Linked DNA regions of Arabidopsis thaliana. The protein of the gene in region 1 purifies or fractionates together with the protein of each later gene. This does not show direct contact. Each region holds a gene or a part of one and is shown on either strand. Other genes may lie near its edges. The genes, in order: psbB, GAMMA CAL2, AT5G40810 and AT5G19760.

Region 1 (6,741 bases):
GGTGTGAAAACAAAGTTTGTGACGCTGAAATGTGCCCGAATAGGTAAGATATCATTTGAAAAACCTCTTCCTTATCTCATACTACTCTTTCAATATATAATCGAATTTTTTTTTAATCTAAAAAATTTCATATTGAATTCGAAGTGCCATGCTATTATTACTTAACTAATTCATATTTCAAATGGCGAAGGCATAGTATTTTTTTCTCGAAAATAAAAAAACTCATTGGCGCCAAGCGTGAGGGAATGCTATACGTTTGGTAATTGCTCCTCCGACTAGGATAAAGGATGCTATTGAAGCGGCCAATCCCATGCATATTGTCTGTACATCGGGTCGCACAAATTGCATAGTATCATAAATAGCCATTCCAGATATTACCCATCCACCAGGAGAGTTTATAAACAAATAAAGATCTTTGGTATCCTTTTCTATACTGAGATATATCATAAGACTAATAAGTTGATTCGAGATTTCGGTATCAACCTCTTGGCCTAAAAAAAATAATCTTTCTCGATAAAGTCGGTTGATTAGGATAATTTTTTATTCCTTAGGAGCCGTACAGGCACCTTTTGGTGCATACGGTTCAATAAAAATTGTGAAAAAATCAATGTGTTGATTCCAACCTACCCTTTTTTCATAGAGGGTTTTTCTTTCTAACTTATAACGGAAGGGCTTGCCCCAAAAGTAAAAGAAATTTTGAGTTTTGGCGCCTTTTATTAGATATTAAAATCCTCTAAAAAAATGATTGATTCATTGATATTTTTTTTTTTCATCGAGATTCAGTTGAAATGGCGATGGTTTTTTCTTGTTCCTGAACGGGCTTCTTCCTTTTTTTATTCCATTTTTTAGGTTTATGCTCTACCCCGAGTAAAAGGAAAAATTTGCCCGATTTTGATTTGCACATATAGGACAAATGAACCAAATACCGCGTCTTTTTTTACTACTCCTTCTTTTTTTTCAATTCAGTTCTTTCACTTGTCTTCTGTCAAATAGTCAACAAATTTTGAATTATATTATATATTATTTGTATTTGATTTGAGCAACAGTTTTAGATCGCCCTGTTTCAATTTTTTTTATAGAGTTTTTATCATAATTTTGCATATAATAGAAGTAGTAATTATAAAAATATTATATATTAATTATCAATTGGGTTTTTGCTAAACGGAGCCTGGATACTTCATTTTATTAGTCCGATCACGTAAACCATAAAAAAATTTTGATAATCTAATATCAATCTAAATACTCCCTGCATTTAATTCCACTTTATTTTTTGCGCTTCGCGTTACAAATTTTTGATAATTCAATCAATCTTTTTGAGCGAAACAGAGGATATCTCGATCGAGGGAGAAAATGGGGAAATCCCATATAGCCCGATATATCTGACAAGTCGCACTATATGTCAACCCAAGATGTATCTCCTTCTCCAGGACTTCGAAAAGGTACTTTTGGAACGCCAATAGGCATGAAATGAAAAAAAAAGAGAATGAAGTTCTCTATTTCACTTTGATGTGGAAACGTAAAATTGGGGTTTCGTTTTTTAATACTATTATCCTTTTTTCCTACTTTATTAATCATATTTAAATTAATGATATTTAATACATAAGTTGAATAAGCTAAAATAAAATATAAAATAAAAGTAAAGTAAGAGAGAATGAATAAAACTAAAGGAAATTTTTTACGAACGGGCTTCTGAATGATCAACAACAATAGCTATCTTGGTTCATAGAAAATAGGATTAACCCCCATTGCATATTGGTACTTATCGGATATAGAATAGATCCGCTTCCCTTTTTTTCTATGAATTGAATTGTTCCATTATTACTAACAGAATAGAACAAATATTAATCCTTTCTCCGAAATAATTACCTAAAAAGGGGGGGTACGTAGCATAGTTTTTTCCAATGCAATAAAGTTACATAGTGTCTATTTTTCGTTGATAAAGGGGTATTTCCATGGGTTTGCCTTGGTATCGTGTTCATACTGTTGTATTGAATGATCCCGGTCGTTTACTTGCTGTTCATATAATGCATACTGCTCTAGTTGCTGGTTGGGCTGGTTCGATGGCTCTATATGAATTAGCAGTTTTTGATCCCTCCGACCCCGTTCTTGATCCAATGTGGAGACAAGGTATGTTCGTTATACCTTTCATGACTCGTTTAGGAATAACCAATTCTTGGGGCGGTTGGAATATTACAGGGGGGACTATAACGAATCCGGGTCTTTGGAGTTACGAAGGGGTAGCCGGAGCACATATAGTGTTTTCTGGTTTGTGCTTCTTGGCAGCTATTTGGCATTGGGTATATTGGGATCTAGAAATTTTTTGTGATGAACGTACAGGAAAACCTTCTTTGGATTTGCCCAAGATTTTTGGAATTCATTTATTTCTTTCAGGAGTGGCTTGCTTCGGTTTTGGCGCATTTCATGTAACAGGATTATATGGTCCTGGAATATGGGTATCCGACCCTTATGGACTAACCGGAAAGGTACAACCCGTAAACCCGGCGTGGGGCGTGGAGGGTTTTGACCCTTTTGTTCCGGGAGGAATAGCCTCTCATCATATTGCAGCAGGGACGTTGGGTATATTAGCGGGCCTATTCCATCTTAGTGTTCGTCCGCCTCAACGTCTATACAAAGGATTACGTATGGGCAATATTGAAACCGTCCTTTCCAGTAGTATTGCTGCTGTCTTTTTTGCAGCTTTTGTTGTTGCTGGAACTATGTGGTATGGTTCTGCAACTACTCCCATCGAATTATTTGGTCCTACTCGTTATCAATGGGATCAGGGATACTTTCAACAAGAAATATATCGAAGAGTTAGTGCTGGACTGGCTGAAAATCAAAGTTTATCAGAAGCTTGGGCGAAAATTCCTGAAAAATTAGCTTTTTATGATTATATTGGTAATAATCCAGCAAAAGGGGGGTTATTCCGAGCGGGTTCAATGGACAATGGGGATGGAATAGCTGTTGGATGGTTAGGCCACCCCGTCTTTAGAAATAAAGAAGGGCGTGAACTTTTTGTACGCCGCATGCCTACTTTTTTTGAAACTTTTCCGGTAGTTTTGGTAGACGGAGACGGAATTGTTAGAGCTGACGTCCCGTTTAGAAGGGCAGAATCAAAATATAGTGTCGAACAAGTAGGTGTAACTGTTGAGTTTTATGGTGGTGAACTCAATGGAGTGAGTTATAGTGATCCCGCAACTGTGAAAAAATATGCTAGACGGGCTCAATTGGGTGAGATTTTTGAATTAGATCGTGCGACTTTGAAATCTGATGGTGTTTTTCGTAGCAGCCCAAGAGGTTGGTTTACGTTTGGACATGCTTCGTTTGCTCTACTTTTCTTCTTTGGACACATTTGGCATGGTGCTAGAACCCTCTTCAGAGATGTTTTTGCTGGTATTGATCCAGATTTGGATGCTCAAGTGGAATTCGGGGCATTCCAAAAACTTGGAGATCCAACTACAAAACGACAAGCAGTCTGATGCAACATTGCTTTTTTTCTTCTAGTTTCTGTTTGTTATTTTATTTAATAGGTAGGGTACTGTAGGAATCTTTATTTAAATCGCTGCCGTTTCTTTGACTCTTTTTCTTTCTTTATCCTCCCAAGTAAACAAAACGTAAACAAAACAGGTATGAAAGCTATAATTGTAAACCACGATCAAATTTATGGAAGCATTGGTTTATACATTTCTCTTAGTATCCACTTTAGGGATAATTTTTTTCGCTATTTTTTTTCGGGAACCACCTAAAATTTCAACTAAAAAATGAAATAATTTTTCATTATCTTCATTAACGTAATCAGCCTCCAAATATTTGGAGGCTGATTACGTTAACTAGTCCCCGTGTTCCTCGAATGGATCTCTTAGTTGTTGAGAGGGTTGCCCAAAGGCAGTATATAGAGCATACCCAGTAAAACTTACAAGTAACCCAGATATAAAGATGGCGACTAGGGTTGCTGTTTCCATTATTATAGAATTGAAAGACCACACCGGATCTATGCTAAGATCATTTATTTACAACGGAATGGTATACAAAGTCAACAGATCGTAATGAATACAAAATAAGATTTATGGCTACACAAACTGTTGAAGATAGTTCTAGATCTGGTCCAAGAAGCACTACTGTAGGGAAGTTATTGAAACCATTGAATTCCGAATATGGTAAAGTAGCTCCCGGATGGGGAACGACCCCTTTGATGGGTGTTGCAATGGCTCTATTTGCGGTATTCCTATCTATTATTTTGGAGATTTATAATTCTTCTGTTCTACTGGATGGAATTTCAGTGAATTAGACTGAGAAGAATCTTGAAGTTCTAGCTTTTAGCTCGATACAAAAAAGTAAAGTATGCAGGTCTAACAATTTTAGCCTATTCTCCTTTGGTAGTTCGACCGCGAAATTTTTTTCTGCATTGTATATTTCCGGAATATGAGTGTGTGACTTGTTAGAATTGACCCTATGGATAGTACAGAGAATGGGGTCTGTCATCTTTATCAAGATGGTTTTACTTCGTCGGATATTCATTCGAGTATCTGGAGCACGAAATAGATCAAATAGATCACAAAGTATTCGAACTATGATTCATACTTAAATACTCAAACCTCGTAGCCGGACTTCTTTCCGTTCTATCTTATAAACTTTAATAAATCAAAAAAATTTTCTGCTTTTAAACTCTTATTTGGATCAAAGGACAAACGCTTCTTTGTATTTTATGTTTTTAGTCATTATAGCTTTTTTTTTATTGAATAAGTGATGATCCAATGGTTCTCACTCAGTGAACTTTGGACTTTGAAGGTTTCATTAAATTATCGTGGTTCTCGTATGAATCTGAGGTTTCAATTGATTAGTTAAGTAGGGTCTTAACAAGAGAATTCCTATCAATAATAAAGAAAACAAGAAGAAATCCCTGTCCCCGTTCCATACAAATACCAAATAAAAAAAGACAATAAAGATAGGTAATCTAGAAGATTCAAGAGGCCTGTAACGATCAACACAACATAAAGACGAATGAGCTTACTTGATTTTTTGGCATTTAACCACAAAGACGAGCTTTCGCATTTTGACTCTTTCATATCTTTAAATAATAAAAAATAATATTGAATGAGAGACAAGTTTAAAACTTTATATTCCATATCTGTTTCAATCAGTATTTGGGTCTTTTTTTGTTTGAGCTGTACGAGATGAAATTCTCATATACAGTTCTTGGAGGGGGAGTAACCTTGGTTTACCTATCTCAATAAAGTTTATGATTGGTTCGAAGAACGTCTTGAGATTCAGGCGATTGCAGATGATATAACTAGTAAATATGTTCCTCCGCATGTCAACATATTTTATTGTCTAGGCGGAATTACCCTTACTTGTTTTTTAGTACAAGTAGCTACGGGATTTGCTATGACTTTTTATTACCGTCCAACCGTTACTGAAGCTTTTGCTTCTGTTCAATATATAATGACTGAAGCTAACTTTGGTTGGTTAATCCGATCAGTTCATCGATGGTCGGCAAGTATGATGGTCCTAATGATGATCCTGCACGTATTTCGTGTATACCTCACCGGTGGTTTTAAAAAACCTCGCGAATTAACTTGGGTTACTGGTGTGGTTCTGGGTGTATTGACCGCATCTTTTGGTGTAACAGGTTATTCTTTACCTTGGGATCAAATTGGTTATTGGGCGGTCAAAATTGTAACAGGTGTACCTGACGCTATTCCGGTAATAGGATCACCTCTTGTAGAATTATTACGCGGAAGTGCTAGTGTTGGACAATCCACTTTGACTCGTTTTTATAGTTTACACACTTTTGTATTACCTCTTCTTACGGCCGTCTTTATGTTAATGCATTTCCTAATGATACGTAAGCAAGGTATTTCTGGTCCCTTATAAATAATATAGATTCTAGGTATTTGTACTTACTTATTACTTGGTGAAGGAACGATAGTATTTTATTGCTATAAATATGGATTATTAAAAAAATAAAACATGTATTTGGATATTTCCCTTCAACTCCACAATATTTTATTATTTTTTTGACATAAAAAGTTGAAGGGAATTCTATGAAGAGATAATGGATTATGGGAGTGTGTGACTTGAACTATTGATCGGGCCGTGCAGAAATATTACTTTATCTGCTACATTGGAATTCACAACCAAATGTGTCTTTGTTCCAACCACTGTGTAAGCCCCATACAGGGGATAGGCTGGTTCACTTGAAGAGAATCTTTTCTATGATCGTACCCGACGCTGTCGTGGATGAGTGGGCTCCGTAAAATCCAGTAGATTAAGGGATGGAACAAAATCCTGATTATGTTTTTAGTTATTTTGGACTAAAAAAAAAAAAGAAAATAATTATTAATAGTAATAGTATGTAAATGCATTCATTTTCTCTGCATCGACTCGATTTATGATACTATCGGAGTGAATACAGGATCTAATGAAGAGTAGAGGGTAGACTCCATTAGTAACAAGTAAATCCTTTGTATTTGAAAAATCTCGATATAATTGTTGAGATTAAGGACGAATTTATAAGGTATGAGACGACCCAGAAAGCACTTAATCATGATAAACTTTTTAAGCTTACGTGGGTGTTGAGCATTTACCTGTAAGAATGGAATTTCTTGAATCTTTAGTTGCAATAACTTTGGAATCGGATAATTAATTTTTACATATTAAATTATATTTTTTGTATGTATTCATTTAGTTTGGTTAATTCTTGCTCGAGCCGGATGATAAAAAATTATCATGTCCGGTTCC
Region 2 (7,651 bases), on another chromosome or scaffold:
CTTCCCCCGGTTGTCTAGTTTTATGGTTTGTTTTGGATTTTGTTTCTTCTCTGTGTCTTGTCAAAACGTTATGAATTTGTGAATCTGAATATGCATTAAGTTAATTTCAAAATTCGCTATGTTTGATTCTCGGTTTGGTTTAAATCTGGTTATGGCGTTGATTTGAATTTGATGGTAGGCACTAGGCAGTTAGCCTTAGTTTGGTTTATTGGTATTCGAGTTCAAATTGGAATTGAGTACTAAAATGCTCTGTTACTCATTTCTGCATCTTGAGTTCTTATGGATTTGCTTACGAAATGTTCAATTTTGTTTGGTCTGGTTCGGTTCGTTCTGAAACGAATGTCGAGAGTCTTTTGCTTGACTCGAAACTTGCCTTGTGTCAGCGTGTAGGGGTTTGTAAGAATAAAATGGGCTTTAAAATTAAGTTATTAATGGGCCAACACATGATCCACCAAGAAGAAGTGATCCGGTTGCATCTTAGATTCTCATGTGATGTGATTGAACGTTGAAAGTGCACAGAAGTAGACCTGTTTAAAGATGTTTCACACTTTCACTGCGTACTATGTAACTAGTGGAGTCAGTCCCGTCATGCGTATGAGTAAAGCGCGTCGATACCACGGGAACACACAAAAACATGTCACCCTAGTAAAAACTGTGTTCGTTAGCTCATTGTAAATTGCAGTATATGGCATAAACAATTGTTTCTACAAATTCCAAGAATGTAAGAATCAAGACAATAAAATGTGACTATATCAAGAACTTAACTAAAGTTTCATCCACTTAAATGAAAAAGTTGATTTGGATAGAACAAAAGACGTAATATTCGATGTGTTCTCTCTCTCTCCCATCTTTACTTTTATTGACTTTTTATTTTCACTTTAATGTGTGATGTAAAAATAAAAAGTAATTATTTGTTCAACCCTAGGTGAAATAAAGGACGACCCAAAACAAGTGACGAGAGAGCAGAGAGAGCTTCTTCTTCCGGACACTGAACAGTGAGAGCACCCATCTCCAACCTCTTCCTGTAAGTTTCCCCAACTACTCTGTTTCTTAAATGTTCTGCGTTCTTTAAAACAAAGTATAGAAGATTTAGGTTGTAAGATCGATCTCGTTTGATTTCAAACTCACTATCTGAAACTCTTTGATTACAAACCCATCTTCATAATCTCTGTAAAAATCAAACATGCAATTCACTTAATGGTGCAAAAACCCCAGAAGAGGGAAAAAGGAATCAAATTTAGTTTATAAAAGCAGTGGAATTGAGTTGCATTGTTGAAATATTCAAAAGCAAGATCAGATTTTTGATAAAGAATTTCACTTTTGATTGCAACTTATAATCAAGGAACAAGATGGGAAGCACTGTGATTTTAAGCTCAGATGATGAAGATTCAGATATTAGTGAATCTGAAATGGATGAGTATGGAGACAAAATGTACCTAAACCTTAAAGGTGGGAAGCTGAAAGTGAGACTCTCTCCTCAAGCTTTTATCTGTCCTTATTGTCCAAACAAGAAGAAAACTAGTTTTCAATACAAAGATCTTCTTCAACATGCTTCTGGAGTTGGTAATAGCAATTCTGATAAAAGAAGTGCAAAGGAGAAAGCAAGTCACCTTGCTCTTGTCAAATACCTTCAACAAGATCTTGCTGATTCAGCTTCAGAAGCAGAGCCTTCATCAAAGCGTCAGAAAAACGGAAACCCTATTCAAGATTGTGATCATGACGAGAAGCTTGTGTATCCTTGGAAAGGTACACACTTTAAAGGTTCTTACTTTTCTCCTTAAGATTGTACTGCAATGTGTGTTTAGTGTTTGTGTATATGTGGTTGAAACAGGTATTGTGGTGAATATTCCAACTACAAAGGCACAAGATGGTCGATCTGCGGGCGAGAGTGGATCGAAGCTAAGGGATGAGTATATTCTAAGAGGATTTAACCCGACTAGAGTTCGTCCTTTATGGAACTACTTGGGACATTCAGGAACAGCTATTGTGGAGTTTAACAAAGATTGGAATGGACTTCACAATGGTCTTTTGTTTGACAAGGCTTATACAGTAGATGGTCATGGGAAGAAGGACTGGTTGAAGAAAGACGGTCCCAAGTTAGGTCTTTACGGTTGGATTGCTCGTGCTGATGATTATAACGGTAATAATATTATTGGAGAAAACTTGAGGAAGACGGGTGATCTGAAAACTATAGCTGAGCTTACGGAAGAAGAGGCGAGGAAACAGGAATTGCTTGTGCAGAACCTGAGACAACTTGTAGAAGAGAAGAAAAAAGACATGAAGGAGATTGAGGAGCTTTGTTCAGTTAAGTCAGAGGAACTTAATCAGTTGATGGAAGAGAAGGAGAAGAATCAGCAAAAGCATTACCGTGAGCTGAATGCTATACAAGAAAGAACAATGAGTCACATTCAAAAGATAGTTGATGATCATGAGAAATTGAAGAGGCTGTTGGAGTCAGAGAGGAAGAAACTCGAAATCAAATGTAATGAGTTGGCAAAGCGCGAAGTGCACAATGGAACCGAGAGAATGAAATTGTCTGAAGATCTTGAACAGGTATCCATTTACTCTCTGTATCTCTCTTTTCAAGATATATGTTCAAGAAATAATTGGTTTTTTTCTCTTATCAGAATGCATCTAAGAATAGCTCTCTTGAACTAGCTGCCATGGAACAACAAAAGGCAGACGAGGAAGTTAAAAAACTTGCTGAAGACCAAAGGGTTAGTGACTTTCTTCTTCTTTGTAAAAATGGTTGGGCTTATTTTCGTGATTACTGAGAAAATTCTGTACCTAACAGAGGCAAAAGGAGGAGCTTCATGAGAAAATCATAAGACTAGAAAGACAGAGAGATCAGAAACAAGCGATTGAGCTAGAAGTTGAGCAGTTGAAAGGACAGCTCAATGTGATGAAGCACATGGCATCAGATGGCGATGCTGAAGTTGTGAAAGAGGTGGACATCATCTTCAAAGATTTAGGTGAGAAGGAAGCACAACTCGCAGATCTCGATAAATTTAACCAAACTCTTATCCTTAGAGAGCGCAGGACCAACGATGAGCTTCAAGAAGCTCATAAAGAATTGGTAAACGTATGTATCATTCAAAGTGTTGTTCTTTTCAATCACATCGAAAAGCTATGAGAAAGCTTGACATTTTACTAAAATCTTGGTTTTGTTTGTTTCATGTGCCTTCATAGATTATGAAAGAATGGAACACAAATATCGGTGTTAAGAGAATGGGAGAGCTCGTGACGAAACCATTCGTGGATGCAATGCAGCAGAAGTATTGTCAGCAAGATGTGGAGGACCGAGCAGTTGAAGTTCTCCAACTTTGGGAACACTATCTCAAAGATTCAGATTGGCATCCATTCAAGCGGGTCAAGCTCGAAAATGAAGATAGAGAAGTGGTAAGACCGCCTTCTTGACTCTGTTTGTTATGTTGAATCTCTCTGAAAGATTAAAAAGCTTTTTTGGTGTTGTTGTTAATTGTGTTTAGGAAGTGATAGATGATAGAGACGAAAAGCTGAGGGAGCTAAAGGCAGATTTGGGAGATGGTCCTTACAATGCGGTCACGAAAGCTTTGTTGGAGATAAACGAGTATAACCCGAGTGGAAGGTATATTACAACAGAGCTATGGAACTTCAAAGCAGATAAGAAGGCTACACTTGAAGAAGGTGTCACTTGTTTACTTGATCAATGGGAAAAGGCGAAACGCAAGCGTGGAATGGCTTAGAGGTTTAACCATTTTTGATAACCGAACAAAAATATGTTTTCATTTGCAATTGTTATTTGCTAATATAGGATTTCGATTGATGGTTTGCAGCTGCAAGATGATGGACATGGGACTGAATAAAAAGCCGATGCGGTTTTTAGTTGCAGAGAAATGTGTTTGGTTTGACCAAACTTTGGTGGATTCTGTTTGTTTTTCTTCTCAGAACTTAGTGAATAATTGACACAACTTTGATGTCTTGCATCGGTTCTTTTCATTGTAACATTTGTAGGAGTTTGGCCGCTTTGGACAATAAGAAATAAAAATATCATTGTAATATAATTCACATGTAAAACAACTAGATTTGGCCTCTCTTCTGTCTCATATCTTAAGCATGTCATTTAGAACCTTTTATTGTAAAAACAAACTTTGTCATGAGTTACTTTTTGTAGTCAAATTTGATATTGACCCCTTCCTTATTATGCTAACACTGTTTTCATCTTATAACCCTATAAATCTAAGTTTCGTGAATATAGCCAAAATCATCTACATCATTGCAAAGAACCTTAAAGGAGAAAGAAGAAAACCGGCTTGAGAGAGATGGAAAACAACTCAGGAGCTATTCTCTTTGTGATCTTAGCTATGACCATTGTTCTTCAAGTGAGGCCAGGGTTCTCTCAAGCACTCCCTACGATCCCCGGACTTTTCCCACCGGGTCTTCCTATTGATATCATAAAATGTTGGTCATCTCTCTTTAACGTCCAAGGATGTGTACAAGAAATCTACAAATCGATATTTTCTGGTCAGTTTGCTAGCATTGAAGCCCCATGTTGTAAAACGTTTTCAGCTATAGATACAAACTGTTGGCCACATATGTTTCCATTGAACCCATTCTTCCCTCCTATTCTCAAGAACAACTGCGAGCGTATTGCTACGACTCCATCATCAACACACAAGTGAAGGCTACACACAAATGTTGCGAGCCAGTTGTTAGCTTCGAGGTTTAAGAAGTTCTTTTATCGATTTGAGAGATCACAATGCCCAATAATCCAAAATTCTCCTTGCAGTAATTTTTTTTTTTTTGTAATCTTTAGCTTAAAATAAACAAAGCTAAGCTTTTTGATGTACTCGTATGTGTTTGCCATGTAGTTTGTTAAAAGAGTGGTTATAACATAAACAAAATTTTGTTTGCGTTTATATATGAAAATATTGTTCTTACACTATGGAATAAAACATATTTCAGCATTTAAAATTTGTAAAAACGACGAACACGAACGCATATCAATACCATACCAAAAAGATTATATCGTACATGAAACTTGTTGCAGACAATGGCATGACTAATGGGCCTCTATTAACTTAGCCCATAAGGCCCAATAAAACTTTCCAAATAGTTTCATTTTTCAGATTTTGAAGAATCTCCCGACGACTCCTCTCTGTCTCCTCCTCCGGGAAGCTTTCTGTCTCTCTCTCTCTCTCTCTACACAAGACCTTGAAGAATCCGATTCCATAACAATGGCGACTTCGTTAGCACGAATCTCTAAAAGAAGCATAACATCGGCTGTTTCATCGAATCTGATTCGGCGTTACTTCGCCGCGGAAGCAGTAGCGGTGGCGACGACGGAAACACCTAAACCGAAATCGCAGGTGACGCCGTCGCCGGATCGGGTAAAATGGGACTACAGAGGCCAGAGACAGATAATTCCTCTGGGACAGTGGCTACCGAAGGTAGCTGTAGATGCTTACGTGGCACCTAACGTTGTGTTGGCTGGTCAGGTCACCGTCTGGGACGGCTCGTCTGTATGGAACGGTGCCGTTTTGAGAGGAGATCTTAATAAGATCACCGTTGGATTCTGCTCAAATGTCCAGGAACGGTGTGTTGTTCATGCTGCGTGGTCGTCGCCTACAGGTTCTTGTTCTTTGTCATTTTTTCGGAATTTGAGTCTCTGTATGGTTCCATTGTAGCTTCTAGTTTGAGTTCTGGATATCCAATTGCTGTAGTTACTGCTTGCTAGCTAATGGAATCATTGATATTGGAATTTAGGGTTTTCATTTTCATCTTCCATTTTGATTATGGAAAATGTAGAGTCTCACCTTTAAGGAGATTTTACACTTTTATCTGAAGTAGTGAAGTGTAAGTAAGCATATTTGTTTGGAGTGAAGATGTCCCCAGATCAAGAATCATGAATGATATTTGTTCAGTAAAGTTAATCTTCAGAGCATTTTGCGTTTAGCTAGACAAGGATGCATAGAATTGCGTAGTTCTTTAGGTGATTAGTGATATTGGAAGCAAGAAACCCATTGATGATATGTGCTTGATTTTAAAATTTAGGTAATTCAGGGGTTGAATAGATTAGCATGGTGGAGACCATCTTGTTTAGTTGTAGAAAGTTGCCTAGCAGCTCTGGAGAAGTTTCAGGAACTATGTCATAGTAAAGATTTTTAGTTATGCGGAGAGAATTTTGCAGAAAGTTGATATTATATTCAGTGGTTGGAACCGAGATTCTGAAGCTGCGTCAAGCTGAATGAACATAAGCGTCTTTTAGTCTTACCAAGGTGGATTCCGTGTCAAAGTCTTTAGTTCAACAGCCTCCTGGTTTGATTAAGCTGTAGTTTACAACTAGTACTTAATTACTTGATTCACCATTTTTTCGGGTTAATAGCTCTGTATTATCAACCAGTCTTCATGCTTTTTCTATACTAACATCTTGAAGGATAGAGCATACTGTGGTGCTGCTTTTGAATTTTGATATGATAGATAAAAATCTGATCTTAGAAGATACTTTCTACTTTGATTTTTTTCAGGATTACCAGCACAAACATTGATCGATAGGTACGTGACAGTTGGTGCATACAGTCTTTTAAGATCATGCACTATCGAACCAGAATGCATCATCGGGCAACACTCAATCCTAATGGAAGGTTCACTGGTCGAAACCCGCTCAATCCTAGAAGCTGGTTCTGTTTTACCACCTGGCAGAAGAATCCCATCTGGTGAACTATGGGGAGGCAATCCAGCAAGGTTTATTCGAACACTCACCAATGAAGAAACCTTAGAGATCCCGAAACTTGCTGTTGCCATTAACCACCTAAGTGGAGATTACTTCTCAGAGTTCTTGCCTTACTCAACTATCTATCTAGAGGTTGAGAAGTTCAAGAAATCCCTTGGAATCGCCATCTAGAAAGCTTCTTCCAGGTTTCTGGCTACTTCCCTCATTAAGAAAGCTTCTTCGTTTTCGGAATTTGATCTGAATAAGTAGCTGCGGAACAAGAAAAAGAGCAGAGCTGTGTTTCAAATGTTGTCTTCTCTGTTTGTTTTGTTTAAGTTCATATCCTTGTGTTCAAACTTTCTATGAAGATGATAATGGTGAAAACTGGAAAGTGTAAAACTTCTTTCGTCTCCCCTCACAATTGGAAAAGCTAATAATCTCGTAGTGTTATAGAATTAAACATCTCGTACTAAAATATTTTCATCTTCAATTTTTATTGTGTTGCTTTGGGCGAAAAGCCAATCACTGAAACATTACAGAAACTGAGAGACGCAACTAAAATATGTAGTACCAAATTATTCCAATATCTCTAGAGAGCACAAAGCTAGTTCCCTCCCTTAATAAACCCTGAGAATTTATGCATGACTTCAATAGCATTATCACATTCAGGTTTCAACAAATGAAAAACATGATCTTCTCCTTCACTCTCCACCACTTCAACCTCTCCTTTCCAACCAGACTTCTCAAGCTTAGCCGCGTAACCCCAACCCTGCCTCACCAACGCATCTTTCTCAGCCACCATTACCAAAACCTTACCACAACCCAACCCAGACAAATCCACCGACTCTGATTGCACCACGTTGAGCAACGGATCATCTGTTCCATCTTTGCTATTAGGACTTGCCATCATCCAAAACGCCTCTATCTTCATCCTCAACGTTTCATCTTTCGTATCCTTCT
Region 3 (8,548 bases), on another chromosome or scaffold:
TAGGTGTAACATTATTTGTTCTTAATAGTCGTTTAAATGTGGTTTATTAATTATATACATATACAATCTTAATTAATTACATGCTAAACAAAATTGTACAAGATGGTATATTGGTATTCAGTCCACTTTTATAGCTTTATTATTCAGTTGTGGCTCTAATCAAATTTTTTTTAGTTCTTTTTCAATTTATGCAATATAGAAACTGTACGGAAAGGAGATGGTTCGGTTTTGCATGATATTTTCCAGCTATAAATGGCATGGTAGACTACTTAGCAGCAAGTATTTGTATAAAATATGACTGAAATCTTCTGAAATATCTCGGGCTCGAATCCTTTAAACGAGCATTGAGATTCGAGATATATCAACTAAGCTCTCCATATAAAGGAAATAAACAAATATGTATGGTCGAAGCCGATTAAAAAGCAGGCACACACAAACATTAAATTATACTATAGGCAATGTGACTTTATAACATATATCTCTCTCCACATAGGTCTATATGATAATTTAATTGGATGGTTATCCAAAGCACCCAAATAATTCTGGGAACTGCGATGTGTGATCTGATTGGCTTATTGCTCTTTATTAATATGAGATTTATAAGTATATGATAAAATTAGGTGTATGGGTCCCATGATCAGGCTAAAACAGCATCTGGTGTTTTTTACCACATTTCAAGACTCTTGTATGGTCCTTCTTTGTCCTCCCAACCAACCAAATTGCATGAAGTGTCCTCCATTTCAAAATTGAAAAAACTGGCATGTCAGGGCACATTTGGAAATATATACATGTGTATATATTGTGTCTCTATTTATGGAAGTGTAAAGCAATGACCCATAAGGTCTTCTCATTGTCCTATGGTCGGATCTATGTACTTATGTAGCTCCGGTTCTAGGGATGTGCTCTCATTCTATAGCTAAAGTCATCTTGGTGTGGTTTTGGGTGTGTTAATCATTTAGGTTCGGTTAGAACATTTCACGGAATAAACCTATCATTTGCATTTGATATCTATGAAAAACATTTCACGGAATAAACCTATCATACGTATCTTTCATTACCTTTACATAATACATCACACAAAAGCATAAGTATTCTTTCACCTTGTCATTTTTTTTTGGGATAAATTCTATCGGTAAAAACATACTGAAATACGCTAGAGTGGATTCTTTTCACTTGTCATAAAACCCAATAAAAATCATATTTATTATTTTATTATTATTTAAGTTCGTTTCTTAACATAATACATTACCACTATCTAATACCTCATATAAAATTAGATTTAAAATCCTATAAACACACACTAAATTCTGAAAGAAATAATGTTAGGTTGTTTAATTTCTTTTTTTTGTTTGTCAAATCAGATATATTGATATAAAACAAGGTTACAAAATATATAAACATTATAATACAATTATTATACGCAAATACAAAAATTTGATACAATTTTGATAAAGGAGTGAAAGTAACCCGACATTACAAGCAAATAGGCGTTGGTCATGATACATAAATATTTTTTAATTATAAGAAAATTACTATTATTTTAAAATCACAAATTTTAAACTGTATATTTTCTTAATTAGGCACTGATGAACAATTCGTGATACAATGTGGAAACATGTCTCAAATCGAAACCCTTATTTGATATGTTATTAAGATACCTGCTGGGGAGGTGCCTCATCCCAAAATAAACTAAATTAATTAACATTCATTTAGGTAGAAAAATTACTATAATGACATACTTAATCATATAATTATACTTTTCCTTCATACCACCAATAAAAGCAGATCGCTATCTAGCTCTTAGACAAGATAATAGCATAGCTTTTAATTTTGATAAAGCTGAATGGTCCTTGTAGATAAAGTTAAGAGAAGAATATGTTTTTTTTTTTACAAAGGCTTGTTTTCATTCATTCACATAAAAACAAGTACAAGAAGGAGTGATTCAAAGATCACAAAGTTTAAAACATAATTAAAGGAGGTATTCCCCAAAGCCAAAACATAATAGAGGCATTTCTCTAAGACACGAAAGGAAATGCATAGCATTCAAACCGACTCATATTAAATCATCTCTCATAAATGAAAAACTACTTCCACTTGAGACACTAAAGGACTCACCAATCAACATATTAAGAAAGTTACTGTTTCGTGGCTTGAAAATATGTAGAAAAGCTTCCAGGACGATGTCTCATTCATTAATTTTCTGATGATTCCAAATTCGTTTTCCGAACCACAACTTATGATTGCAAAAACCTAATGATTCGGCTTGAGTTGAGTCATGATGAGAATTTCTCCTGCTTAATTAAAATTCTGTTTTTAGGTATAAGAGATTCTATTCAGCAAAGATATTCAAGATGAGTAACAGATATTAAACATACCATGAACATTCACAAACCTGTGGGAATTAATATATGAACTTACCTAGCAAAAGCGAACATGTAATTTCTCATTTACATTTTCCCGTACTATGTAAAATTGAAACACATTTTCAAGTTTAAGGAAGATTATAATTTTGGAGTCGATGTAGTATCCCGAGAGCATACGAAACATATGTTGTATTTTCAAATTTGCGCCTCTCGATATTGAACTACAATAATGCATGTTAGATTCAAAGCAGCCTCGCTTTGGACCCTATAAAATGAGTTAATGCAAGCCATAATAATTTATCGATCGACATATTTACTAAACAAGCCAGAATGTGATCTCGATCTCAGCCTGTGTTAATCTTTTTGTAATTGAACATTCTGGACTAATGAACTCTTCACTATTGAAAAAAACAACAACACATAGATCATTTACACAAAGTCTCCCTTTACTAAATTTCAAGATTTGGTCCATTTATTCCAATGAGAAATATTCCAGATATTTTTTTTGGCTGTTGACTGTACGGATAGGCCCTTAATGGGCTTTTAATGGATTAAATTAGGCCCATGATACTTGAAAAATCTGAAAGGTGTTGTTGTGTTGTGTGTGACAGTCCAGTCGCGTCATCCGGAGACATCCATTTTCTCTGGTAGCTGTTTACTTCTTCTTCTTCTTCTTCTTCTTCTTCCTCCTCCTCTGTTCGTCAATCGCCGATCTCGTTGCTTCATTTTCCTGTGAGTATTTTCTCGATTCGACACATCTCATATCCGAATCTGCCATTTCTTCATTCAATTTTGTTTATTTGTTGGAACTTCGGATCTATATAGAGAATCGAGTTTTCTAGGGCTTACTCATTGTTTCGGGTATATGTAATGGCTGAGAATCTTCTCTGTTTGTATCAGTGAGATCGATTGGTACAAGTGTTCATCCAATGGTTGGAGGAGGAGTTATCCGGCAGCTTCTTAGAAGGAAACTTCATTCCCAATCAGTCGTGAGCTTTTTCCCTGTTACATCTTTTTGATTTTCTGCTGTAGCTTAGGATCTGTTTGAAGATAGAATCATATGATTTGTTTTGGTTCTGTCTACACCTTCATTGCTCTGAGAGATTGTCCTTGAAGAATTGTAACTGGAATTGTTGTGGCGTTGGAGATTTTGGGATATAAGAAACTTAGACTTATTGATTTGTGCTTCGAGAGTATGATTAATATTCGATTTCTTTTCAGAAAAAGTAGTCTTTTGATTTGTTGAGCATACACCTTCTTGTGTCTTGGCCTTTTTTTTTGTTTTCTTACTGTTGTTCTGTATTATCTACCACCATAGGCAACTCCGGTATTGTCATGGTTGTCTTCGAAGAAAGCGAATGAAGATGCTGGGTCTGCTGGTTTAAGAGCATTTGCTCTCATGGGTGCTGGTATTACCGGATTATTGAGTTTTTCTACTGTTGCATCTGCTGATGAGGCTGAACATGGTCTGGAGTGTCCTAACTACCCTTGGCCACATGAGGGCATTCTCAGCTCATATGACCATGCTTCGTGAGTGTTCAAGCTACAATTCAATCATCATAGTGAAATTGCAACACTAAAGTTGAAAATTAGAGAAATTTGAGACTGCTTTACTGACGGTTGATTTGTAATGAGCAGGATCCGTCGTGGTCACCAAGTTTATCAGCAAGTTTGTGCGTCTTGCCATTCGATGTCTCTGATCTCATACCGAGACTTGGTGGGTGTTGCCTACACAGAGGAAGAGGCGAAGGCCATGGCAGCTGAAATCGAGGTTGTTGATGGACCAAATGATGAGGGTGAGATGTTCACCCGACCTGGTAAACTCAGTGATCGGCTTCCTGAACCATACTCAAATGAATCGGCTGCTAGGTTCGCCAATGGAGGAGCGTATCCACCGGATCTAAGTCTTGTAACTAAGGTTTGGTGCTCTTTCTCTCCATTTGTATACAATTAGAAAATTCATCTACTATGATCTAAGCAATTTGGCTATTTTCTTCCAGGCACGTCACAATGGCCAAAATTATGTCTTTGCTCTGTTGACTGGTTATCGTGATCCTCCTGCTGGAATTTCGGTAAATTTCTCTCCTATTTTTGCTTTAGACTTGTTATTACAACTTCAAATTGTTGGAAGTTAGAAATAATCCTGTGACTAACGGGTACAGATCAGAGAGGGGCTACACTACAATCCTTATTTCCCTGGTGGAGCAATCGCTATGCCAAAAATGCTCAACGATGAAGCTGTGGAATATGAAGATGGAACTCCTGCAACAGAAGCACAGGTTAGTTTTCCTCTGCTTAAGAAAATAATTTGCAGACCATAAAGTTTTATCAGATTTGACCTTTCCTCTGAGTCAATTATATAATCTTTAATTTTTCTTTTTTTAAAAAACATGATGCAGATGGGTAAAGATGTTGTATCCTTCTTGTCCTGGGCAGCTGAACCAGAGATGGAAGAGAGGAAATTGGTAAGTTTCTTAGTTTCATATATTCCATGTTTTAAGCTGTCGTTTCCATATGTACGAGATTGCAATAGGAATATCAATCTGGATTCTGATTATTTGATTTTCAGATTCAGTTTGAGAAAATTGTTACCAAACTTAAACCGGCATAGTATAGATTGGTTTTGGATGTAGAAAAAGTATCGCCATTTTATCCGTGTTAAGATTTCCTTGGTTCTGTCTTCTGTATAGCGGGATGAACACACCTAGTTGCATAGTTGTGTTGAACACACCTAGTTGCATAGTTGTGTTGACCACACTACTGCTTGTTTCTTGAGGCTGCTAATCTCAGACCAAAACTATTATCAAACATGAACCGTATTGTTACTCTGTATTCAAAACCGTCATGTTGGTTCTAAACCGACCCAAAAAAACCCGCTATACCGAGAATCCAACTCTTTGTGCTTAGATATCTGTTAACGTTGGTTGTATGTGTGTGCAGATGGGGTTCAAATGGATATTCTTACTGTCTTTGGCTCTGCTTCAAGCTGCGTATTACAGGAGACTGAAATGGTCAGTACTCAAATCCCGTAAGCTTGTTCTCGACGTTGTTAACTAATCCCGTGAAGATCACCTTTTCTCTGGGTAATAATCATTAATCTTGAAAGGGATAAATGGTGAATCCCACTTTTTGTCTCAAAAGACATGTTTCTTTGTTTATTGTTTAGAAAGTCTAATGAGGCAAAGAAGTAAAGCTTTTTTAACCTCAAGTCACACATGATTTTGAGATTATATTATTTCTTTTTGGTTTGTTGTCTCCTAAACCGGACTCGGTTTGTCTTAATAAAAATGTGGTTTTACAATCTCTCTCCTATTTGTATATCACAAAACATGATTTTGTAACTATTAAAGTTAAAAAGTTAAAATCTGTGGTCTATTTCTGATAGACCAAAACTCCACAGAACAACCAATTTACCTCTGTTGCGAACTCGATTTTGTAAAACTTAGAAAAATGTAGGCAGGATTTAGACCCGTTAATGTAAAACCAGTTCCGTTAAGACATTACCAAACAAAATTGCACAATCCTACAGACAATGAAACAAACATGCAGGATCGGACAAAACCTCAAAATACAAGTCCACACTTTTAATTGTCCCTTGGAATCAATATTTATAAAAATGTAATGAGCTCAAATTTTTATAACCTATGAAAAGATCAAAATCTTGATTAAAAAGAAGAAAAAAACCAATCAAATCCTGGCAGGCTTCTGCAGAACAGCCGAGAGAAAAACCTCAGCATCAGTTTTCTCTCCAACAACCCATTTCAACTTCTTATACCCAAACCTCTCTATCAAACGCGTAAGAACTCTCTTCTTCTCATCATTACCGCAATAGAAATTGTCTAACTAGAACAATCCACCGGGTTTCAAGATCCGATCAAGATCAAACATCAAGAACTCTAGCTTCTCGGGTTTACTACTAACCGCTAAATCCAATCCGTTAGAAGCATGAATGAGATCAAAAACATTGTCATAGAACGGGAATCTCTAATCCAAACTCCCTCTGAACAACGGAAAAATCCCTCTTGTAGCTATGAATTCGCTGAAAGGAGCATCTATATTTAATGTAATACCGATAATATTCAGATTCTTTTCAGCCATTCTAGCAGCAAACGTGCCTGATCCGCTGCTAATATCGAATCCGATTCGGATTTTCCCATCGCCTAAACCCAAACATCATCTATCAGGAAATCAGTCTTCACTTTAACCTTAACAAACCTATCTTTCTCATGACCAGAGCTAGATCAAAGCAACCAACAAAATCCCGGCTCAGTTAAGACCTTTCAAGCATTCAAAACTTTTGCAGCCAAGACCGCTCCAGTTAACACTATTGTTACTGACCGTTCTCCACAAAGAATCATGAAACAGTGCGAGACCTGGCTTATGTACTGTTTTAGCTTCAACTTCTACAGGAAGTTTGTGCACAAGGAGCCTATGATACAAGTAACATCTGCATGTCAAAAAGATTTGTAGCCACCCATGTTTTCATAGGATAGTGTTATCTGCATGTCAACTTACTGTATTAACATAAATGGCATTATGAAAACTGGTGTAGTGTGAACTTAACAACAGCTGGTGTTCAGAGATTTTCATCAGAACCAGGGCATCCACCAGATGTACATCTTCCCAAGATTCTCAAGTGAGACTGCATCGGCAATCAACCGGCGAGCCTGACCTTCTACCGGTAGCGGAACACCAACAACCACGCCCTGCAGCCGGGCTTCAATGCTGCTTATGGCCCGCTGTAATTGCCAAATCATGTGGTTGTCTCAAGCAATTAGAAAAAAAAGAAAGGGTAAATGAACTGACATGAAAGAGAATCATTAAATGATTATGCAAACCTGAGCATGTGGGTTCTGAACTTCTACTCCGCTTGATTTGTGTGACTTTGTCCACTCCACAAGAGGATCATGGATGAATGTCTCCAGGATGCTCATCAACGTCTCCCTATGTGTCCTCAACACTGTGAGAGTGATTTCACATACCCTCATGAAGATGCCCTCATATCCAGTGATGCCCAAACCATCAATCATGTTCTGTGGTTTGGAAAATAACAATTCACTATTATGACAAACGAAAACAAAATACCAACAGAACACAAACAAACGATTTTGCAGTTTCTTGCCTGGGTCAATCTGAATGGCACCAACTCAGGCTTCTCCAGTTGTAAGCCTTTGTCAAATAAGCAACTGAAGTCTACATGAACACAATCACCCGAAGTAGAATCAAAGAGAATATTTTCTCCATGACGGTCACCAAGCCCAACAATGTGCCCAACCATGGACCAAACTGCTGTGGTGTGAGCATAAGCTACACGTGACCTAAACCAAGCAGCTGGTTCAGAAAACGTTGTCAAGAACCATTTATGGAAAACCGGAGGGAACATAGGGAGGATTTTGGTCTTCAGCATCTCATACTCCTTTTTAACAGCACATTGATCATATATTCTTTTAATTTGAGGATTTGTTTTCTGCCGATCAAACTTCCCACAGGAAATGTATATATCTTGTAGAATATGGCGGAGTCCACGTGTATGTGGAACCCACTCGACCAGACCACAGTCCTCAGTCAGAGGAGCTACTGCGAAGGTGCGGATATATAGCTTCCTTCGTCTGCTTTCGGGATACTTGGATAGTAAGCGGTTTATCATCGCAGTAAATTCCATCATCCGAGCATCTTTCCTGAGATCATCCTTGGGCTTGCAGAGGAATGGATACTCAATACCATCATTTCCCAGCAGAATGATCTGAATATAAAAAATATAATCTATTGGACATGCATATTGCAGGACTGGTTCTTGAAGATAAACTGATCTTATGCCATGGTATAATGCATATTGGGAGACATATAAAAGGAGATATAAGCAGAGAGCAGAGCAGAAAATCATATGAAATTAGGTTGACAGCTTTCAATCCATGAAAAATGGAAAAGCATACCTTCTTTGGGCGCTGAAGGGAAGAAAGTATCTCGGCTTCATCGGCTATACCAGAAATAGTTGGTAGATCTGAACCAGAAAAGACACTGGCAGAGTGTCGTTCATTGTTATTCATATGGAATGCTGGTAGGCTAATGGTAAGAGATTGTTGAATTGGCATGATGATATCCAGCGGCATCATTCTTTTCAAGGCACTGAATTCAGTTGCTATATTGATAACCTTGGATCTTGGTTGTCCTCCATGGAAGCATAG
Region 4 (8,268 bases), on another chromosome or scaffold:
TGCTTTAGGATCATGCATTTTTTTGTCTTTTTGTTAGTTTGAATGGATGAAAATTCCCTTAAAACATTATATTTATAGGATTGAATTGCTACTTAAGCTATCTTCCTAACCGCATGCATGAATTCAATGGATTTGATAATCGTTTATCTTGAAATCTTGATCCATTATATCTAAACAATTGCTTAACCCACTTTGACATCTTTAATCTGAAACCGCTTAGGAAAAATATGCTATATAGAATTAATATAGCTGATTGTCTCAATTCATCTAACTTAACTTAGCAATTAGAGAATTAATCTAGCTGACTATCTCAATTCATCCAATACAATCTTAGAATGATCAATTTATATGAGTTTATCTTTCGTATCATTACAATCATTTTGGTTATCAAACCATCATTTTGGTCGTACCTTTATCCACTCATTGAAAAATATAAAAATATTTGGCTCCGATTAGTAATACGCGTAATTGCAAAATGACATTTTTTTAATACGAGTATATAAGAATGTTACCAATTAAGAAAATTAACATAATATTTATTAAAACGCAAAAATACAGAATTTTTGTTTTCTTCATAGAAAATAAAAATAAAAATTCATTATGTAAATACATATTATATGTATATTTAATTTTAGACACATATATTTGTTTGTTTTATTATGCAATTTTTCATTCTACAAATTTATAGTTTTGCAAATTTTTATTCTCCTACTTATGTCATTAAAAGGATTATACGGGGTTATCTCAGAACTTGTGATTTCAAATCTTGAAAACACGTTTTACGTAGTCAATATTTATGTAAGTTAATTAATAAATAAATGCACTAAGAGAATCAAAATCTTATAACAAAGACAACCTTACATGACGTTTCTTTTCTGTTTGGCGCTTACAAAAACATCCTACTATAACCAATAGTTATTTAAACCACTAAACCCTAATTTAACCTATAATATCGATTTAGGTCGGTTAAGCTATTATTTACCTCACTCATACTAACGAAATACCTAAATTCCGGTAAGTTATTTAAACCGGATAAAAATCGACACCTTCCAGATCTAGATCCAGATCGAATCTCACGTATTTTGTCTATGCCCAGTCCCAAAGGCAGGCTGTCACAACTTGGCGGACCCCAACCAATTATCAAATCTCATTCAATAAATAATCAATTTCCCACAAAAATCATGGAAATTAGGAAAAAAAGAAGATCTCGCTCACCGCTCTCATTTCCTCAATTCTCCGTCCGTCGAAGAAGCGAATCGCTCGAAATTAGGGTTTCTACTGAGAGAAGATGCGAGAAATCATAAGCATTCACATCGGACAAGCTGGGATCCAGGTCGGAAATTCGTGTTGGGAGCTTTACTGTCTCGAACATGGAATCCAGCCGGACGGAATGATGCCGAGGTATAAACCCTAATTCACTCTTTGTACTCTGTTTCTGTGGATCGGAAGATTTTTGAGATACGAGTCTTTTGCGTTGTTGCAGTGATACTACAGTTGGTGTTGCACACGATGCGTTCAATACTTTCTTTAGCGAGACTGGTGCTGGGAAGCATGTCCCTAGGGCTGTCTTCGTTGATCTCGAGCCTACCGTTATCGACGAAGTTCGTACTGGTACTTACCGTCAACTTTTCCATCCAGAGCAGCTCATTTCTGGGAAAGAAGATGCTGCTAACAACTTCGCTAGAGGACATTACACTGGTGAGAATCCACTTTCTGCTTGTTCTAACTTGTTAGGGTTTTTGAAATGGTCCTTAGAATGCTTCTTGTAATTGCAGTTGGGAAGGAAATTGTGGATCTATGTCTTGACCGTGTGAGGAAACTTGCCGACAACTGTACTGGCTTACAAGGGTTTTTGGTGTTCAATGCTGTTGGTGGTGGAACTGGTTCTGGATTGGGTTCTCTGTTGCTAGAGCGTTTGTCTGTAGATTATGGAAAGAAGTCTAAGCTTGGTTTTACCATATACCCTTCTCCTCAGGTACTCTTTCTTTTGCTAGACACTGAAGTAGAAACTCTTACATGACATGTTTCTATAGTGGTCTAATTTGGATGAAACTTGGTTTTAATGCATATTCCTCTGTGATGTCAGGTTTCTACTGCTGTTGTAGAACCTTACAACAGTGTTCTCTCAACGCATTCCCTTCTTGAACATACGGATGTAGCTGTCCTCTTGGATAACGAAGCCATCTATGACATTTGCCGCAGATCCCTAGATATCGAGAGGCCAACCTACACAAACTTGAACAGGTTGATATCACAGATCATTTCATCCTTGACAACATCTTTGAGGTTTGATGGTGCCATCAACGTGGATATCACTGAGTTCCAGACCAATCTTGTCCCATATCCCCGTATCCATTTCATGCTGTCATCTTATGCACCAGTCATCTCAGCCGCCAAGGCTTACCACGAGCAGCTATCAGTCCCTGAGATCACCAATGCCGTTTTTGAGCCAGCTAGCATGATGGCAAAGTGTGACCCGAGACACGGAAAGTACATGGCCTGTTGTTTGATGTACCGAGGAGATGTTGTTCCCAAAGATGTTAATGCTGCTGTTGGCACCATCAAGACAAAGAGGACTGTTCAGTTTGTTGACTGGTATGATCTAGAAATGGATAAAGCTGCTACTGTTTCTACCTTCATGTTGTTATTATATAATAACTCCTTTGGCATGGGTTTTGTTTTGCAGGTGCCCAACTGGGTTCAAATGTGGAATCAACTACCAACCTCCAACAGTTGTTCCAGGTGGTGACCTCGCTAAGGTTCAGAGAGCTGTATGTATGATCAGTAACAACACAGCAGTTGCAGAGGTGTTCTCACGGATCGACCACAAGTTTGATCTCATGTATGCGAAGAGGGCATTTGTCCACTGGTACGTTGGTGAAGGAATGGAGGAAGGTGAATTCTCTGAGGCACGTGAAGACTTGGCCGCACTGGAGAAAGATTACGAAGAAGTTGGTGCTGAAGGTGGAGACGATGAAGAAGATGAAGGTGAAGACTATTGACACCTTTTCTCAAAAAAACTGCAACCAAAAAAAGTTTTTTCGTTTATCTGTTTTCACTTTTGATTCTGTTGATTGTTTAAATCCTGTAAAATATTCGTTCGGTCTTCGTGTTTTATCTCGGTTGGATACATTTTCATTGGTAGAGCGACCATTGCGAGTTCCCGAGTTCATTATCAAGCTTTTGTTGTACCAAACTTTGATAATCTTCTTACAACTGTCCATTTTTCCTTGAAGTATAATCTCGTCTATCGGTGCGCTAACGTTTATCAACGTTCTGTATATGCTTTGTTGTCGTATCAGCTAATAATACATTTATGAGATTCAACTAATGTTAACAAACCACGTTGATCTTCACAAAAGGGCATCAGAATTATCAAATTGCATCAGAAATACTGCTCCACTGGTCCACTATCTAAAATACGGCGTGAAAAATGCCAAAAATTATTGAACAAATACAAAATACAAATACAGAAGATCAATTTTTTTAAAAAATTAGAATTTATTGGACCCAAAAAATTCAGAATACTAACGATTTTCAACTTCATACTAGAAAATTAGAAATGGACGAATGTCAAATCTAAAATTCATATGAATGCGTAATAAATAACTCTAAATATTTGGATTGCGTAAAATCCGAATGGTGAAAAGTAAAGTCCAAATTAATAAATTTAGAAAATATGTCTGGCTTAGATCAGATCTCATATGCAAATGGAAAAAAATAAAAATTAAAAAGGCAAGGGTTTGGTGCAATTTAGTTTCAGTTGGGTGGTGTTAATATAAAAGGCCCATAAGCTTCACACTTCATCGTCTCCTCTCCACCAAGTGAATCTCTTTCTCTCTCTCTTTTTCTCCGCGGAAGGAATCTCTTCTTCTGGTTGCGTTTGAGTCCGTACGAAAACAAAAGAAAAGAGAGAGATGGCGGAAGAGAAGAAAGCTCCAATCAGTGTCTGGACTACCGTGAAGCCCTTCGTCAATGGCGGTGCCTCTGGTATGCTCGCTACTTGCGTTATCCAGCCGATCGACATGATTAAGGTCTGTCAAATGTTTACGGATACACGTTTCTGTATCACCCATCTCTATGTCTAAGCTCGTTAGTATTAACAATTCTTGCTTGATTTGCTGGTATTGATACCTACGAAATCCGTAAATGTTGTTCATCAGATCCGAGTCTGTAGATTTTATCTCTCAGATCTGAGTTTTTGTTTTGGCTTATTATAATCAAATTTCATTGCTCGGAACATAGTCAGACTCGTTTGAGTGTGAATTGTTGCTATTGATACATGTTTAGATGAAATGTTCTAGTTCAGATCTGGATTTTGATTAGAATAACGTTCTTAGGTTCATCACAATGTGTGATTCTTCGCCTGTGTTCATAGGATTTTTAAATGATGTGAATGTAATTAACTAATACTTTGTTTTGTTTCTGGTTGGTGAAGGTGAGGATTCAACTTGGTCAGGGATCTGCAGCCAGTATAACCACCAACATGCTTAAGAATGAGGGCGTTGGTGCCTTCTACAAGGTATAAATTGCATTTCTGGATGCATTACTTATCTTGAAGATGTACGTTTTGTGTAGTATGTTTTCTATTGATATGTTCATGACTTTTGTTGATTTGTAATGTATATGATTTCTGCATTTCCGGATCTGAGTCTCAGCTATTCAAAGAATTAATTTCCTTATCTAACAGTCTTTCCAACAACAACATTAGTTATACCCCATTGAAGATGTCTCCTGAGCTTATTTGATGTTAATTTTTTTTAATAGGGATTATCTGCTGGGTTGCTGAGGCAAGCAACTTACACGACAGCCCGTCTTGGATCATTCAAGTAAGTTAGTCATTCGTCTTTCGTCTTGAGCCCATCCAGATGAATAGATTTTTATTGCCTTATGGTTATGGATAAATCATCCTCTCTTCTGTCAATCTTATTAGGTTGCTGACTGCAAAGGCAATTGAGTCTAATGATGGAAAGCCTCTACCGCTGTATCAGAAGGCACTATGTGGTCTGACAGCTGGTGCTATTGGTGCTTGCGTCGGTAGTCCAGCCGATCTAGCACTTATCAGAATGCAGGCCGATAATACTTTGCCGCTAGCTCAGCGCAGGAATTATACCAATGCTTTCCATGCGCTTACCCGTATTAGCGCTGATGAGGGAGTTTTAGCACTTTGGAAAGGGTGTGGGCCCACTGTGGTCAGAGCTATGGCTTTGAACATGGGAATGCTTGCATCTTATGATCAAAGTGCTGAATACATGAGAGATAATCTTGGTTTCGGGGAGATGTCTACGGTCGTAGGTAAGCTGCTCTTCCAAGTTTCTCATACAGTAAGAATATATTTTTTCTGTGAGCAGGTAGATAGCAGTTAGAGTCAAGGATCCTAAGAATCAATCGTCTTGGAAATTTACATTTGTAGCATATAATCTCCTGATTACACGAGTGTTAGATTGTCATAAATTAAATGTGTATTTCACTTAATACAATCTATCCAAGAACTACACCAAGGAAAATACTTTATTAATGAGAGGACTCTCTAAACTCTCAACCGTTGCCCAAACCCAGATCTAAGACCAATCCAGAATGGATCCCATTGCGTTGTCCTTACTCCCTTTTAAGAGCTACTAATTGTAAGGTCGCTCAGTTGGCAAAACTACACTTTTCTCAACTTCCTAGGCTTGTTACACTAGTTCTGCACTAGACTTAACAAGAAACCTTTATCAGTATTTTCATATGGTCATGTAATCTCTGTATGATAAATTGTAGTTAAAATAGATCTCTGAGTTTGGTTTTTGTTTACTTTAACAGGAGCAAGTGCTGTTTCTGGGTTCTGCGCTGCGGCTTGCAGTCTGCCATTTGACTTTGTCAAAACTCAGATTCAGAAAATGCAACCGGATGCTCAAGGAAAGTATCCATACACAGGTTCGCTCGATTGTGCGATGAAAACCTTAAAAGAAGGAGGACCTCTGAAATTTTACTCGGGTTTCCCAGTTTACTGTGTCAGGATTGCCCCTCACGTCATGGTATAATAGCTCTTATCTCCCTTTTTTGTTTATGTTATTGTAATTACCACTTCGTGATTGCCTCTAAGATAGTTGTTGATCGGGTTTTCTTTTGGCAGATGACATGGATCTTCCTAAACCAGATTACGAAATTTCAAAAGAAGATTGGTATGTGAGGAACAAATACAGCAGCAAAAAAATAAGATGAGAAGAACGAAAACACAATTGGAATTGTGTTCATTTGCTTTTTAATCATATACATAACCTGCCTTAAAAGCATATTATTGTAGCTGTTTGAACTTTAATTTTTTGTTTCGGTCGGTGATTGGTCCGGTGAATTTTAAATTTTCTTCTTTGGTGGAAGTTTAAGACACATAGCCAGAGATTTCAAAATTTTCATACGAACTAAAAAAATTCTCTGAATGAGGAAACAATAAATATATGAAACATTGATGATGGGGAAATATTTGAAGTGCTTGAAGAAAAGCTTGTTTCAACTCTAAGAAAATGTCAAGTGCAGGGTTCCCAAATAATTGTTTCGAAACACCAAACATTTGCATCAGCAGACAAGACCGTTTCCCCAAAACTCTGCCGATAACAATCCAGCAACCACCTCTAGGCTCCAGGTAAGAAACATGTCTACTTTGCAACAACTTCTTTGTGAGCTTTGAATGATAAAATCACATTCCAAGCCAAAGCCACTACGTTTGAAGCAAGTACCTGCAATAATTCATATATAAGACATCGATTCATCCTCAAAGCCAAAGAAAATCTTGCTAAGCATACTAGCTAGAAGCTAATGTCATTCAAGCGTAATTCATCTCAAGCTCATCATGTCAAAGATGTTTTTAACAAGGGCTCAAAAACATGAAAATGCGTAATAAATTCTCAAAGATTATACTAAGCAGAGGATTAACAGCGTGTGGGTCGTTATTCGTTATGTATGAAGCATATCTATCTTAACCCAATTGTATTTTTTTTCAGACTCCCGTTTCATGTAGTCACAGAGTTTAGTATCAAACCTGGTAGTTCTGTGGAACAAATCTGAAGTTAAGAAACTGAAATGGTATCCATAGCTGCCAATTTGCTATCATTGCACCAGTCCACTCCTATACAACCAGCAATTCATGGATTCAATTAGAACACCGCAAAAGATACAAAGTATCAAATTTAGATTCCTGCACCGGAAATATTAAGTTTAGTTAGGTTTTAATCCAACCTGTTGTAGCTTCGGTATGACATTTGATGGTTTTCCTTCAAGTGTCACAACTGCTGATAAGAAAACTCCAACAAAAATAGGAGCAAAAACAAACTGCAAATACAAATTTTGGTGTTAAGTGCTAACACAGAGGAAGCAAGATGGGAACATAATTGTTAGACTGGGAACAGGAAACTTTGCTACCTGATCCAGTAGAAGTCGTATAACTGCGCCTGATAATCCAGAAGCTGTCACCACTTTGCTCAAATACAAATACCTAATGGATGGAGTTGAGAGATTTCAGAGAACAGAGAATAAGCATAAGTAATATACCAATGGATGCATAAGTCTCTTCAACTGAAGAACCACTAGCAGAGACGTAATATAGTTAGCTTTTGCGGTGTCATACGAGTGAAAGGTCCACGGAAATACCAGAAATGCAATGTTGGACCGACTAGCCCTAAGCCCAAGAAGGTAAAGGTGAGTGTCCTCTTCTTGTCCAGCGATGAGGTCTTGTTGATAGTAAGCTGCAACCAAAAGTGATACGAATAAGCAATGTCGCTCACATATCTAGCAGAATACGATCAAGCATTATAAAGAAAATGGGGCTTTACTACATTATCCTGTATTTTGGGTCTATTAGCTTCCATTCTAACTTTAAAAAAGAGATAGCACAATTCAAGTTAAAGTCTGTCTGTTCAGAAATACATAATGCAGCAGCTCATGAATACTGTTTTATCTCGATATATCCTGAATAGTGAAGAATCCAAACTTCAAAGATAGCACAAAAATGAGAGAGTTACCTGACAGATCAAATCTCCAACGAGGTTCAAAAGTGCTGCGGTCACAGCTTTGGTCAAAACAGGAGAGTTTGAGAGAAGAGCCTGGTACCTGAAGCACCATAGAAAAAGGCACACAAAGTGTGTTTATGCTCAAGTCAAAAGCAAAGAATCATACTAGAAAAAAAGTGTTCCGTGAGTAAATTATTAACACATCCAAGAAAAATTTCCAACATCTGCTTCAATGAATTGCTTTTCAAAGAAACATCTTTACACAAGAACAGGAGTAGTGACA

What was found.
Region 2: the proteins of psbB (region 1) and GAMMA CAL2 fractionate together in Arabidopsis thaliana (co-fractionation; one large-scale study listed by BioGRID). This does not show direct contact.
Region 3: the proteins of psbB (region 1) and AT5G40810 fractionate together in Arabidopsis thaliana (co-fractionation; one large-scale study listed by BioGRID). This does not show direct contact.
Region 4: the proteins of psbB (region 1) and AT5G19760 fractionate together in Arabidopsis thaliana (co-fractionation; one large-scale study listed by BioGRID). This does not show direct contact.

Annotation. Positions count from the first base shown.
Region 1 is NC_000932.1:70,419-77,159, forward strand, and holds psbB (photosystem II 47 kDa protein), read left to right. Parts: upstream 1-1,952; coding exon 1,953-3,479; downstream 3,480-6,741. Other genes in the region: clpP (ATP-dependent Clp protease proteolytic subunit), read right to left, coding at 235-526, 1,394-1,464; psbT (photosystem II protein T), read left to right, coding at 3,664-3,765; psbN (photosystem II protein N), read right to left, coding at 3,831-3,962; psbH (photosystem II protein H), read left to right, coding at 4,067-4,288; petB (cytochrome b6), read left to right, coding at 4,423-4,428, 5,233-5,874; petD (cytochrome b6/f complex subunit IV), read left to right, coding at 6,063-6,070. UniProt on the Arabidopsis thaliana protein: One of the components of the core complex of photosystem II (PSII). It binds chlorophyll and helps catalyze the primary light-induced photochemical processes of PSII.
Region 2 is NC_003074.8:18,029,891-18,037,541, forward strand, and holds GAMMA CAL2 (gamma carbonic anhydrase-like 2), read left to right. Parts: upstream 1-5,044; 5' UTR 5,045-5,216; coding exon 5,217-5,610; intron 5,611-6,506; coding exon 6,507-6,883; 3' UTR 6,884-7,151; downstream 7,152-7,651. Other genes in the region: AT3G48660 (transmembrane protein, putative (DUF 3339)), read left to right, coding at 179-243; IDN2 (XH/XS domain-containing protein), read left to right, coding at 1,350-1,746, 1,832-2,553, 2,628-2,717, 2,795-3,082, 3,190-3,399, 3,489-3,725; AT3G48675 (egg cell-secreted-like protein (DUF1278)), read left to right, coding at 4,302-4,661; CXE12 (alpha/beta-Hydrolases superfamily protein), read right to left, coding at 7,296-7,651.
Region 3 is NC_003076.8:16,336,908-16,345,455, forward strand, and holds AT5G40810 (Cytochrome C1 family), read left to right. Parts: upstream 1-2,955; 5' UTR 2,956-3,095; intron 3,096-3,263; 5' UTR 3,264-3,292; coding exon 3,293-3,352; exon of another isoform or gene 3,353-3,681; coding exon 3,682-3,893; intron 3,894-4,001; coding exon 4,002-4,281; intron 4,282-4,363; coding exon 4,364-4,435; intron 4,436-4,525; coding exon 4,526-4,642; intron 4,643-4,762; coding exon 4,763-4,828; intron 4,829-5,303; coding exon 5,304-5,420; 3' UTR 5,421-6,020; downstream 6,021-8,548. Other genes in the region: ATR (Ataxia telangiectasia-mutated and RAD3-like protein), read right to left, coding at 6,953-7,102, 7,202-7,396, 7,486-8,106, 8,297-8,548. UniProt on the Arabidopsis thaliana protein: Component of the ubiquinol-cytochrome c oxidoreductase, a multisubunit transmembrane complex that is part of the mitochondrial electron transport chain which drives oxidative phosphorylation.
Region 4 is NC_003076.8:6,677,495-6,685,762, reverse strand, and holds AT5G19760 (Mitochondrial substrate carrier family protein), read left to right. Parts: upstream 1-3,708; 5' UTR 3,709-3,917; coding exon 3,918-4,034; intron 4,035-4,438; coding exon 4,439-4,522; intron 4,523-4,767; coding exon 4,768-4,829; intron 4,830-4,933; coding exon 4,934-5,295; intron 5,296-5,802; coding exon 5,803-6,017; intron 6,018-6,115; coding exon 6,116-6,172; 3' UTR 6,173-6,457; downstream 6,458-8,268. Other genes in the region: TUA3 (tubulin alpha-3), read left to right, coding at 1,289-1,401, 1,484-1,698, 1,776-1,975, 2,087-2,595, 2,687-3,002; AT5G19750 (Peroxisomal membrane 22 kDa (Mpv17/PMP22) family protein), read right to left, coding at 6,636-6,716, 7,019-7,105, 7,216-7,308, 7,399-7,471, 7,627-7,721, 7,998-8,085. UniProt on the Arabidopsis thaliana protein: Catalyzes the transport of dicarboxylates, such as oxoglutarate, oxaloacetate, malate, and succinate, and of tricarboxylates, such as citrate, isocitrate, cis-aconitate, and trans-aconitate by a counter-exchange mechanism across the inner mitochondrial membrane.